Cricetulus griseus: one gene and its partners. The protein of the gene in region 2 purifies or fractionates together with the protein of the main gene of each other region. This does not show direct contact. Links are inferred from orthologs where the notes say so. Each region holds a gene or a part of one and is shown on either strand. Other genes may lie near its edges.

Region 1 (3,650 bases), on a different chromosome or scaffold from region 2:
AGGTGGCTCAGGGGCTAAAAACACCAGTTGCTCTTGCCAAGTGAGAACCTAGGTTCAATTCCCTGCACCCACATGCTGGCTCACAACTGTCTTGTTATGTCATGCTGGGCAATACACATACATAGTACTTAAGTTCCATGAAGAGTGATATCATGCCTGCATTTCATGAAGAAGGTAGCCTTATTCGTGGACATGTCTGTTTATGAGAAGCTGACTGTCTGTTTCACATGTCCATAACTCCATTCTGCTTTATTTGTCATTCAGCCCAGTATTAGCCACAAAAGGTGTTAGGATAAAAGTTTGGTGGATATTTATTAGTTACTCTCTCTTCCTGGTATGAAGTAAGTACAGCACTCAGTATATCCCCTGGCAAAGTGGCCACCACTGTGTCCAATGTAGTATCAAGATTACAGTTTAGGGAACTTTATTCTTATTGATGTTGCATTTATATGGCCATACAGAAGTTACTCTGTATTTCTTGCCATTTAGTAAAAGCACCAGTTGGGAGGTATCCTTATAAGGACAACTGGGAACTTGTTGAGAATTTACATTGAATGCCCGAGAACACTTAAAAATTATTTGACAGAAATGTGAGCTTTGGGTGTATTCTCATGTGCAATGAATGTTAGAATTTGTCTTAATCCAAAATTGGCTGGCTATATAAATTGTTGCTGCTTTCACATTCTAAAATAGAAGATGAAATTAAACTTTGCTAAAATTACTTAATTTCAGAGATGTATTCCTTTCACCTTTCTCGAGATACTAGTTAGAACAGGTCCTTGTAGGTGGGAGGCAGGGTAAGACAGGTCTTGCTATGTAATTTACACTGTCTTCAAACTTGCCACCTTCTTGCCTCAGCTATCTGAATACTTCTTGCATTACAAGTGTATACCACTATGCCTGGCCACTGGTATCTTTTAGTAAATGTAACACAACTTTGAGAATTCTACAGTCTCCACGTTTTTAAAGCATGACACAGTCATAAGGCCTTGTGGTGATACCTATGATGGGATGTTGGGACATTTAACAACTTAACTTGCTTTTTCCCATTTAAAATTAGGGTCATATTTCTCTTTCCTAATTGACAAATAAAATGGGCTAGGCTGTGGGGAATAGGGAACTAGAGTAAAAAGGTCATGTCCAGTTTAAGCAGTAAAACTCTAGTGTTTATAAACATTTGGAGCATTCGTGCATGTGTAGCAAATCTCTCCATAGCTTCTAGTGCTTCAGCATTGTTTCTTTTTATCTTCCTTCCAGCATAAAGATGCCTACCAAGTGATACTGGATGGCGTGAAAGGCGGCACCAAGGAGAAACGATTAGCAGCTCAGTTTATTCCAAAATTCTTTAAGCATTTTCCTGAACTGGCTGATTCTGCAATCAATGCACAGTTAGACCTCTGTGAGGATGAAGATGTGTCAGTAAGTTTATGATTGACACTTCAATAAGCATGCTACTATTTCTATGTAAAAGTAACATGATAAAAGTAGTGATAAGTCCATAATCCATTATCATGGTATGGTTACCTTGTACCAGACCCAGAATGAATGCTACACCTTAGAAAATACTGTTTACTATTTTGTATTTATGAAAAGGGCATGGAATAACAAATTTCATTATCCACTGGTAAAAATGAAATGTAGCTCATATCTTTCTTAGATTATCATTCATGCTTCATATGAAATTAGGTTGTTGGTTGATTCAGTGTTTGTACTTGTAGTTGTATTATATGTGTCATAAAACATAGTTGGTCACTGTAATACTTGTAACTGATCACCAGATTTAAGAATGGATCCTTTTTCCATGGTGCAGAATTAACTGTTAGCATTTCTAGTTACTAGTGCAGGCTTCTAAAAATTTTTTCAGCAATTAGCTCTTTAACTTTCTAAATGAAATCAGTGAATCACTAGCATTTCATGCAGAGTATGCTAGATAAAGTCTCCATCGTTTTTAATGTAAGAGCTAGTAAATTGGAATCTTTTTTAATTCAAATTAAGTAATCAATATAGGTTCTAAAATAATTCCTGGTGTGGGCTCTGTTATGGATGCTGTTCTAGAGGAACGGCGTATTAACATGCCTAAAAGTCACAACCCAACAGTTGTACATAAGTCACATACAAAGATGTTTGTTATCGCTGAGCTCTCTGCTCCAGTCTGGTACTTAATATCCCTTTCAACTGCATTTGTCTGTTCTGTGAAACCTAAATAGTAAGTTGAGCCAGTAGCACATTTCTTAGTCCCAGCTACCTAGGAGCCTGAGACAAGAGGATCCCTTGAGCTAAGAAGTTTATGGCCAGTCTTGGCAACATGACAGTATCATGTTTCAAAAACAAACGGGGCAAATTGTTTTTAAAACTGTTACAAACAGGAGAGATGGCTCAGCAATTAAGAGCACCTGTTGCCCCTATAAAGGACCTGTCCCAACACCCACAGGTGCTCACAGTGGCCTCTAACTTCAGTTCCAAAGGATCCAGTGCCCTCTTCTGTCCCTCTGTCCTTTCTGGGCACCAGCGCATAGGTAGTGCACACATCTACACACACAGAGTCATAAATAAAAATAAAAATCTTTAAATAATGAACTCATCTTTATGAATGGTGAGATGGCTGAGCAGGTAAAGATACATTATACATAAGCCTAACAGCCCTAAGTTGAGTCCGCACAACCCATTGAAAAGTGGAAAGAATGAGCCAACTTCACAGTGTTGTCTTCTGACCTCATGGGTATTATGCCATGTTTACCTCCCTCTCCCCTGGTTCACAGATGTACACAATAATTAAACTATCTTAAGAAAAAGCATCATACATTTTACAATTCATGTGCTCTTTAGTATGGTTTTTTCTTGGTTTTAGTTATCTTTTTTTTTTTTCCTCCGAGACAGGGTTTCTCTTTGGCTTTGGAGGCTATCCTGGAACTAGTTCTTGTAGACCAGGCTGATCTCAAAAGTTTTAGTTATTTTAAAAGTTGAGTTTGTTTTTGCTTTTTTATGATGATGCCATTTTAGTTATTTTGTTTGTTTGAAATCATGCCCAGATACGACGCCAAGCAATTAAAGAGCTGCCTCAATTTGCCACTGGAGAGAATCTGCCAAGAGTAGCAGATATACTGACCCAACTTCTACAGACAGGTGAGAGGTTCTTTTGTTACCTTTTAATCGAAATATTCTCTCTAGAATACTGGCGGTTACTTTTTTGGTTTTAAATTCTGTTTATAAAGGCATAAGGGTGGGCTTCTCTTCAAACTTGTAACACATTATCATTTCACCTGTTGAGGTTCTTTTGTTACCTTTTAATCGAAATATTCTCTCTAGAATACTGGCTGTTCTTGACTGTTTTGCTTGGGTGGTGAGCCTAGAGGTCCTGCCTCTGGCAGATGAAATTGAACTTCTTTCTTTTATTCAATATTGTAAAACTCACTTGACTTCTGAGTCTGTTACTTTTTTGGTTTTAAATTCTATTTATAAAGGCATAAGGGTGGGCTTCTCTTCAGACTTGTAACACTTTATCATTTCACCTGTTTCCTATGGTGAGACACTGGTGCTATCTTAACATACATGTTTCCCAGTCATTCTCTATCCCTGTAAAAGAATGATGGGTGCCTGATTCTTGAAAGAGTTGCTTAGGTGTAAGTTACTTATTCCATCACCTGTGTAAA
Region 2 (4,088 bases):
TATAATAGTTCCTGGGATCTAAGCCTTTTGGCCTCTTTGGGCACCAGGCAACTCAAGTGGTGTACGGCACACACATGCAGGCAAGAGTCACACGTAAATTTTTGAGTTGGATTTTCTCTGTGTAGCTGATTGTCCTGGAACTTGCTCTATAGCACTTGGGGGGAGGAGGGTCTCAGAGTGAATATAATAATACACCATTTGCCATCACCACAGCCAAATAAAATATTTCCAAAATGTCAGGTGGTGGCAAACATCCTTAATAACAGCATTCAGGACAGATGCAAGCAGACCTGAAGAGTTTCGGGTCAGCCTGGTCTACACAGCCAAGGCCTACATAGTGAGACGTTATCTCCCTATCTCAACAACCCCCCACCCCCCACACACACCTTACCACATGCATGGGTCATGATCTCCCCTCTCCAGCACCATTTAGTTGGGTGCTTATTCTCCAAAAGTGTACTTCTGTTAGCATCAATTTAAAAGAATCCTTCTTAGCTGGGTGTGGTGGCACACACCTTTGAGCCCAGCACTCGGAAGGCAGAGGCGGGCAAATCTGAGTTCAAGGTCAGCCTGGTCCACAAATTGAATTCCATGCCAAGGCTACACAGAGAAATTCTGTCTTGAAAAATAAGCAAACAAAAACACTCATCTCGCCAACCTGATCTCATATGTAGAAGAGGACCTGGCAGTCAGCAGCAGTGGTGGTAAATGACTGGAACTACAACTAGGGCCTTAAGGCGGCAAACTTACACCAGTCCACTGCAGCAGCAAAGGGACAGGTTCATTTGCCAGTCAAGAAAGGTTACTACTCAGTAGGAAAGGGCAGGATTCCCCAGAATCCACATAGAAGTGACAAATTGTCCCTCTGATATAGACAAATACACCACATACACAAAAAGTGTGTGTGTGAGGGGGGGGAGAACATGGATGGCACACACCTTTAATCCCAGCACTCTGGAGGCAGAGACAGATCTCTGAGTTCCAGAACAGCCTGGTCTACAAGAGCTAGTTGGAGGACAGCCTCCAAAGCCACAGAGAAACCCTGTCGCAAACAGCACCCCCTCCAAAAAAAGAATTTGCTCAAGATGGAGTGGAGCATAAGGCCAACAGCTGGGAAAAACAGGCATGGAAAGAGAATTATCCAGGGGCAATAAGGAGGACACCAAATAGGTCAGAGCCATCCCCGGGTAGAGTAGAACCAGACATCTCTGGCTCAAACATGTGAATGGCCAAGATGGTGTATCTATTTTTATTTGAGAAAGGGATTTATGCAGGACCTAGGCCAGCCTTGAATTCCCGATCCTCCTATCTCAACCCCGCCCCCCCCCCCAAATGCCCAGTCTATACTAAAATGAACTTTAAAATTGCCTGGGCAATTTTTCCAGTGACCTCCAGGCCAGCCAAGGCTACATAGAGATCTTATTTCAGCAATAAAAAAAAAAAAAAAAAAAAAACCTTGGGCATTCAGGACAAGAGAGGTGTGGCAGACCGGTTAAAACGCTTGATGCTTTCGGGCGATTTTTCAGTTCACAACCACCTTCTAACTCCAAGTAGAGGTTCGAGTCCCTCTTCCGGCCTCCAAGAGCACCTGCACACAGTCATTCACACACCCACGTGAATAAAAAATTCAAGGACAGCCTCAACTTCATGAGAACCTTATGGCCCCCTCATACATATGTACTGTTTTGAGGCAGTATAGATCTAAAAACGTTTCTTGTCCTAGTTAAGGGATAAAGGTGAAGCCGAGCGTAGTGGTGCACGCCTTTAATCCCAGCGCTCCGGAGGCAGACACAAGTGGATTTCACTGAGTTCATAGTGAATTCCAGTGTACAAAGATCCTGTCTCAAAACACGAGATGGGGCTGAGCGTTGGTGGTGCATGCCTTTAATCCCAGCACTCGGGAGGCAGAGGCAGGCGAATCTCTGAGTTCGAGGCCAGTCTGGTCTCCAGAGCGAGTTCCAGGACAGCCTCCAAAGCTACACAGAGAAACCCTGTCTAGAAAACACAAAAAACAAACAAAAAACAACAGCAACAAAAAAAGATGGGATACACCAAATGTTTCAGGAACGAGTTGGGGTGCTACTCGGAGCGGATACCCACAAATTCGTCAGGCCTGGGTTCCATCAGGTACAGAAAATGAAACAAGTGAACCCAGGAAGTGGCTATCCCAGACCTAAAGTTTCAATCAGGGCCAGAGAAGATGAGATGCAACCGGGCTGAGCCGCCTCACACCGGGAAGGCGACACCGGGTGAAAGACCCGGCTCCTGTGAGCCGCCACACCGGCCTCCCGAGTCTGGAGGAGAAACCTCCTGGGAAAGCGGCAAAGGAAGACAGGAGGCAGGTGACTGCAGACTCTGCCCACGAGGGCCCGGGTCGTCCGGCTGCGACCCGAACCCCAGCCTGAGGCCGCCCTCTGCATCAATCCCGCCACGATACACAGGCCGGCCTCCGAGGGCCGCCATAACACCGTTCCCGGAAGCCGACACACTAACGGCTGGCCCGCCCCTGGCGCATGCGCGCGGGAGCCCAACGGCCGCCAGCTCGAGGTGGGTTCCTAACCGCCCTGCCGCCTCGCGCCCACTCCTCCCGCTGCACCGCGGCGTCTTCAGCAAACCCACAGCCCCGACTTGCGGCCCCGAGCTCGGGACCCACCACTTACCTGTCGCCCGGTTCGCCTCCGCGAGCTGCGAGGAGAGCCGTCCGTCTGGTTGTACGTCGCGCCCCTGGACGCGAGCGGCAACGCTTCCTGTCTGCGGCCCGACTCGGGTCTTGCTCACTGGGCCGTTGACTTATCACTCAACTGAGGAAAAAGTGATGATTGGTTTATAAGGACGCTGTCGGCCGGCTATTGGTGAAAGGGGTGAAAGAGGGCGTGCCTGCAGCCTCAGGTTCATTGGGTAATCAGGAGTGGGCGTGTCCTATGGGGCTGAGCTAAGCTGCGGCCCCGCCCTGGCCCGTCACGTGAGGTGAGTGTAGGGCTAAAAGGATGCTGCCATATTTAGTACTGGCAACCGCCTGTTAATTGCCCATGCTTGTGCCCCACCCTTTTAAAGTGTAGTTTCCTGCTGTCATAGAATTTTTGACTCTTGTCTGGTGGGTCGGTTGGTTGCTTTTTTTCCAGACAGGGTTTCTCTGTGTAGCCCTAACTGCCATTGAGCTGGTTCTGTAGATCAGGCTGGCATAGATCCACCTGCCTCTGCCTCATGATTGTTGGGATTAAAGGTGTGTTGCCGTCACCACTTGACCCAATTTGTTTGTTTTTTGGTTTTGATTTTTTTCTTTTCTTTTCCTTTTTTCTTTTTTGGGGGGATTTGAGACAGGCAAGGCATGTGCCACCACTACTTAGCTCATTTTTTATTTATTATTATTATTATTATTATTATTATTTGGTTTTTCGAGACAGGGTTTTTCTGTGTAGCTTTGGAGCCTATCCTGGCACTCGCTCTGGAGACCAGGCTGGCCTCGATCTCACAAAGATCCGCCTGCGTCTTCCTACTGAGTGCTGGGATTAAAGGCATGCGCCACCAACGCCCAGCTCTTTTTTTTAACCCTTAAAAAGAAATTAAAAAGCCGGGTGTTGGTGGTGCACGCCTTTAATCCCAGCACTGGGGAGGCCGAGGCAGGTGGATCTCTGTGAGTTCGAGGCCAGTCTGGGCTACAGAGCGAGTTCCAGGACAGCCTCCAAAGCAACACAGAGAAACCCTGTCTCGAAAAACAAAACAACACAAAAAAAGTTAAAAAAAAAAAAAACAAAAACACAAAACTCTTTTACTCCTACGTTGTATACACTGGACTCAGTTGGTCTCCTGCCTCAGGTTCCCTAGTAAAAGATCACTACTCCAAAAAAAAAAAAAAAAAAAGCATTGGCCATAACCTTAGTTTATAGCTCCAGAAAGCCAGCTATTTGGGGATTACAGATGATACAAAAGAGACAACAGACCCTGCGTTCTGAAAAGGTAAACTTCTCCATTCTGCCCTTTGTTCTTCTCCCTTCCCCATCCTTAGCTACAAAAACCCGGTCTTGAAGCATGTTATCTGCATTGTCTGGAACTCTGGTCACTGTGTTGCTGGGTGCTACAACCTGATC
Region 3 (3,650 bases), on a different chromosome or scaffold from region 2:
CTTAGTAGTTCTCACAGGACTCTTCTCTTGAGCTCTTAACAGCATCTGCCAGGAAACAGACCTGTCATGGCAGCTATGGAACCACTCACACTGTTTGCCTTTTGCTTTGCTGTCCCCTCCACCCTAGATTTCTGGGGTAACTTTTAAGACTCACCATCTTTTATCTAAAGAGTTTCATGTGACAGTATTTTTAGGTAGGTGTTTTGGAGTTGTGATTTAAAGGCAGGGGCTCTCGTCAGAATGTGTAAGTTCCCATCCTTGTGCCTTTTCTCATTTGCTAAATAATAGCCACTCATTTCACAGAGTTATTCTGAAGATTAAATGGTTCGTTTTGATCCATATACAGCATGTTGCTGACACATGATATAAATGACTAGTTTTGACCCCATGATACGTTTTTACATGCTCCAACCTCTTAACCAGTGTGTTCTATTCTCCATGCACCAGAGAGTGATCTTTTGAATATATACAGGGAAGAAAAATGTATCAGAGATTAAGGGTGCTGGCTGTTCTTTCCAGAGTCTGAAATGACATCTTCTGGCCGCCTTTGGCATACACAGATAATCATGCAGGCAAAACACCCATATACATAATAAAAGTCTAAAGTATACAAGAAATTATGTTGGGCATGGTTATACACACCTTTCATCCCAGCACTCAGACACAGAGGCACGTGGATTCTGAGTTTGAGGCCACAAGTCTACATGGTAAGACCTTGCCTAATAATAAATACATACATACAGACAGACAGACACAAAGGGCAGGCAAGGTAGTAGCACACACACAGAAAGAGTGGACATGGGAGCACATACTTATAATCCCAGCACTCTGGAGGCTAAAGCAGGAGGATTAAGTTTGAGGTTAGTGTGGCTTATAGAGTAAGATCCTATTAGTAAAATACGCACAAGTCTCATCTCGTGCTTAAAATGAAGAGTGTATATCAGAGTTAATAAGAGGCCACCAAATAAACCAGATTGCAGATCTGTGCTAAATACAAAGAACATAACAAAGCCCAAGATAGAATCCGTTTATTGGGGGCGGGAGTCCTTAGGATTTCTCATAGGTTCTTTTTCCTCACCTTCTGATTCTTTTCTTGACATCAGTGTGTCACTACTGTGGGTACTGGATATTTGCTCTTTTGACATTTTGAGCCATTTTTAATCATTGACATTGAAATTAAGTGAACTAAAGATTAGCTGTTACATAAACACAACTCTAAATACAGGTCCCTTATTGAAAATACTTGCGGCTGTGTTTTCAGATTTTCCCCCCCATATTTGGAACATTTTAGACCCTAGCAGGTAAGCATTTTAAGAAAAGTTAAACACTTAAGGTTTTAGGTTAGAGATCTCCAACTTGTATTAGTTACATTAACATGATAAACTCGAATTTATGAAATACTCTAAACTCACATATCTGTAGGTAGCAATGCAGATACAGATACCAACCAACTCACCAAATATCATTTTTCCTATCTTTCCTTTTCTTCTGTATAACTGGATGAATAGTTTCTATGTAGCCAGGGGTTGAGACATAGACCACTGACTTGCTAAAATAAGCAAAATATATAAACTTTCAAACTAAAGGATGGTACAAAATGTCATGTGACATGGAAACAACTATGGAAGTGGATAATTATAAATCCAAGGCTAACAACTCCTCTTACAGAGCTGTGAACAATTCAAATTATGGGTGGAGAGCTCTCAGGCTCTTAGCACGAAGAAGCCCTCACTTCTTCCAGCCAACCAACCAGCAATTTAAGAGTCTGCCAGAGTACCTGGAGAACATGGTAATAAAGCTAGCCAAGGAACTACCAGTAAGTGACATACTTCATTTTTCCCATTTCCTTTAGTAGACATTATCTGCTTTAAAACTGCTATCAGTATTTGAGCAGAACTCAAATTTTAGTGTATCACACAACAGTAGTAGTGGGGGCGGGGGAGGACACACACAACTTGAGGCAGAGGTTGTTGTTGAACATTCACTTAGGGAGAAAATGTGAACCAAGAGTGGTATAATTTTCTGTGCAACACCCAATTTATCAACATGTTGGAAAAAGCTACTGCCTGCAGTAAATTGGATCAGTTTTTGCTCTTACCAAATGTATTTTACTATATTTTGTCAAGAGCAGGGTCTAGGAGTAGCAGTAGGGTACCTGGCAGTGTTTTCTTATAGTACGGTAACCATAGACATGGTTAATCTCTATTGCCCCTTAGACAATACTGACTAAAGCCTAGGTGTTTACCAACCTGCTTGTTCATGCTTCTCTGTCTTCCTTCTGCCCAAAATGACAGGACCTACAGGTTGAGAGGGTCTGAGGTCCATTAATTACCTATCTAAACTATTTCCTGTTATCTTCAGAAACTAGTGTTTTTTTAAACACCATTGTTTCTCATTTACTATAGCCTCCTTCTGAAGAAATAAAAACAGGTGAAGATGAAGATGAGGAAGATAATGATGCTTTACTGAAGGAAAATGAAAGTAAGAATTGAATTTTTGAATTGAAATTGAATTTTTTGGCTATTTCACAAAACTGAAAAAGATTAGGGTTCTTTGTTGAGAGGTACATTGTATAATTTGGTCTACTTCTCAACTTCTACCATTTTATCTCAGTTTACAGTGAGATTAAAGCCATTAGTCACTTAAAATACATTTTATATAGGGAAATTTGGAAATAATTTTAAAGATAAAAAAGATGGGTGTTTTAAGGCAGAGCCTTGAACTCTGCTAATTTAATTGGGGCTAGAAGGAACATCTCTATGGGAAAATCTTCCTAATTAATATAGCTTTGAGCTGGGCGTTGGTGGTGCACGCCTTTAATCCCAGTACTCGGAAGGCAGAGGCAGGCGGATCTCTGTGAGTTCCAGGCCAGCCTGGTCTTCAGAGCGAGTGCCAGGATAGGCTCCAAAGCTACACAGAGAAAAACCCTGTCTCGAAAAACCAAAAAATAAAAAATAATTGCCTGAATTGTGATTTTTTTTTTTCCTAAGAAGGTATGTAACCTATGTAGAATTAAGTTTTAAAGTAAAGCTTAATGTGACTAGTAACCCAGTTTTTTGTTGTTGTTCTTTAAGCTTTGCAGGTCTTTCAGATAATTTATATCCTCTTGTCTTCTAGGCCCTGATGTTCGGCGAGATAAACCTGTAACAGGGGAACAGATAGAGTTATTTGCCAACAAACTTGGTGAGCAATGGAAGATTTTGGCTCCGTACTTAGAAATTAAAGACTCTGAAATTAGGCAGATTGAGTGTGACAGTGAAGACGTGAAGATGAGGGCCAAGCAGCTCCTTGTTGCCTGGCAAGATCAAGAAGGAGCTCATGCAACAACAGATAACCTGATCAGCGCACTAAACAAGTCTGGATTAAGTGACCTTGCTGAAAGCCTAACTAATGACTCCGAGACAAATAGTTAGCTTGCTTTCTTTTCTTTCTTTTTTATTAAACTGTGATAAGATTTTGTTACCAAGCGGCATTTGATAAGAGGTCCAGTGGTTTTGGTAAACAATAAACAGTTTTATAACAGCTGTTGCACAGTTGGTTAGTGCTTCAAGAACTACAAAACAGGCACTGTCTAAACCTTAGTTTGGAGTATAGGAAGGTGAGGTGGGAAAATGGCCCAAGTAAAATGACTATCACAGACCACATTTTGT

Evidence for each region.
Region 1: the proteins of Ddx39a (region 2) and Api5 fractionate together in Homo sapiens (co-fractionation; 3 studies listed by BioGRID, with this or other methods). This does not show direct contact. The link is inferred for Cricetulus griseus from reciprocal best matches to the Homo sapiens genes DDX39A and API5.
Region 3: the proteins of Ddx39a (region 2) and Thoc1 purify together in Homo sapiens (affinity purification with mass spectrometry; 3 studies listed by BioGRID and IntAct, with this or other methods). This does not show direct contact. The link is inferred for Cricetulus griseus from reciprocal best matches to the Homo sapiens genes DDX39A and THOC1.

What each region holds. Positions count from the first base shown.
Region 1 is NC_048599.1:82,289,111-82,292,760, forward strand, and holds part of Api5 (apoptosis inhibitor 5), read left to right. Parts: intron 1-1,257; coding exon 1,258-1,419; intron 1,420-3,029; coding exon 3,030-3,123; intron 3,124-3,650. UniProt on the Homo sapiens protein: Antiapoptotic factor that may have a role in protein assembly. Negatively regulates ACIN1. By binding to ACIN1, it suppresses ACIN1 cleavage from CASP3 and ACIN1-mediated DNA fragmentation. Also known to efficiently suppress E2F1-induced apoptosis.
Region 2 is NC_048596.1:160,700,651-160,704,738, forward strand, and holds the start of Ddx39a (ATP-dependent RNA helicase DDX39A), read right to left. Parts: upstream 2,818-4,088; 5' UTR 2,661-2,817; intron 1-2,660. UniProt on the Homo sapiens protein: Helicase that plays an essential role in mRNA export and is involved in multiple steps in RNA metabolism including alternative splicing. Regulates nuclear mRNA export to the cytoplasm through association with ECD.
Region 3 is NC_048595.1:236,160,857-236,164,506, reverse strand, and holds the end of Thoc1 (THO complex subunit 1), read left to right. Parts: intron 1-1,668; coding exon 1,669-1,816; intron 1,817-2,405; coding exon 2,406-2,481; intron 2,482-3,117; coding exon 3,118-3,413; 3' UTR 3,414-3,524; downstream 3,525-3,650. UniProt on the Homo sapiens protein: Component of the THO subcomplex of the TREX complex which is thought to couple mRNA transcription, processing and nuclear export, and which specifically associates with spliced mRNA and not with unspliced pre-mRNA.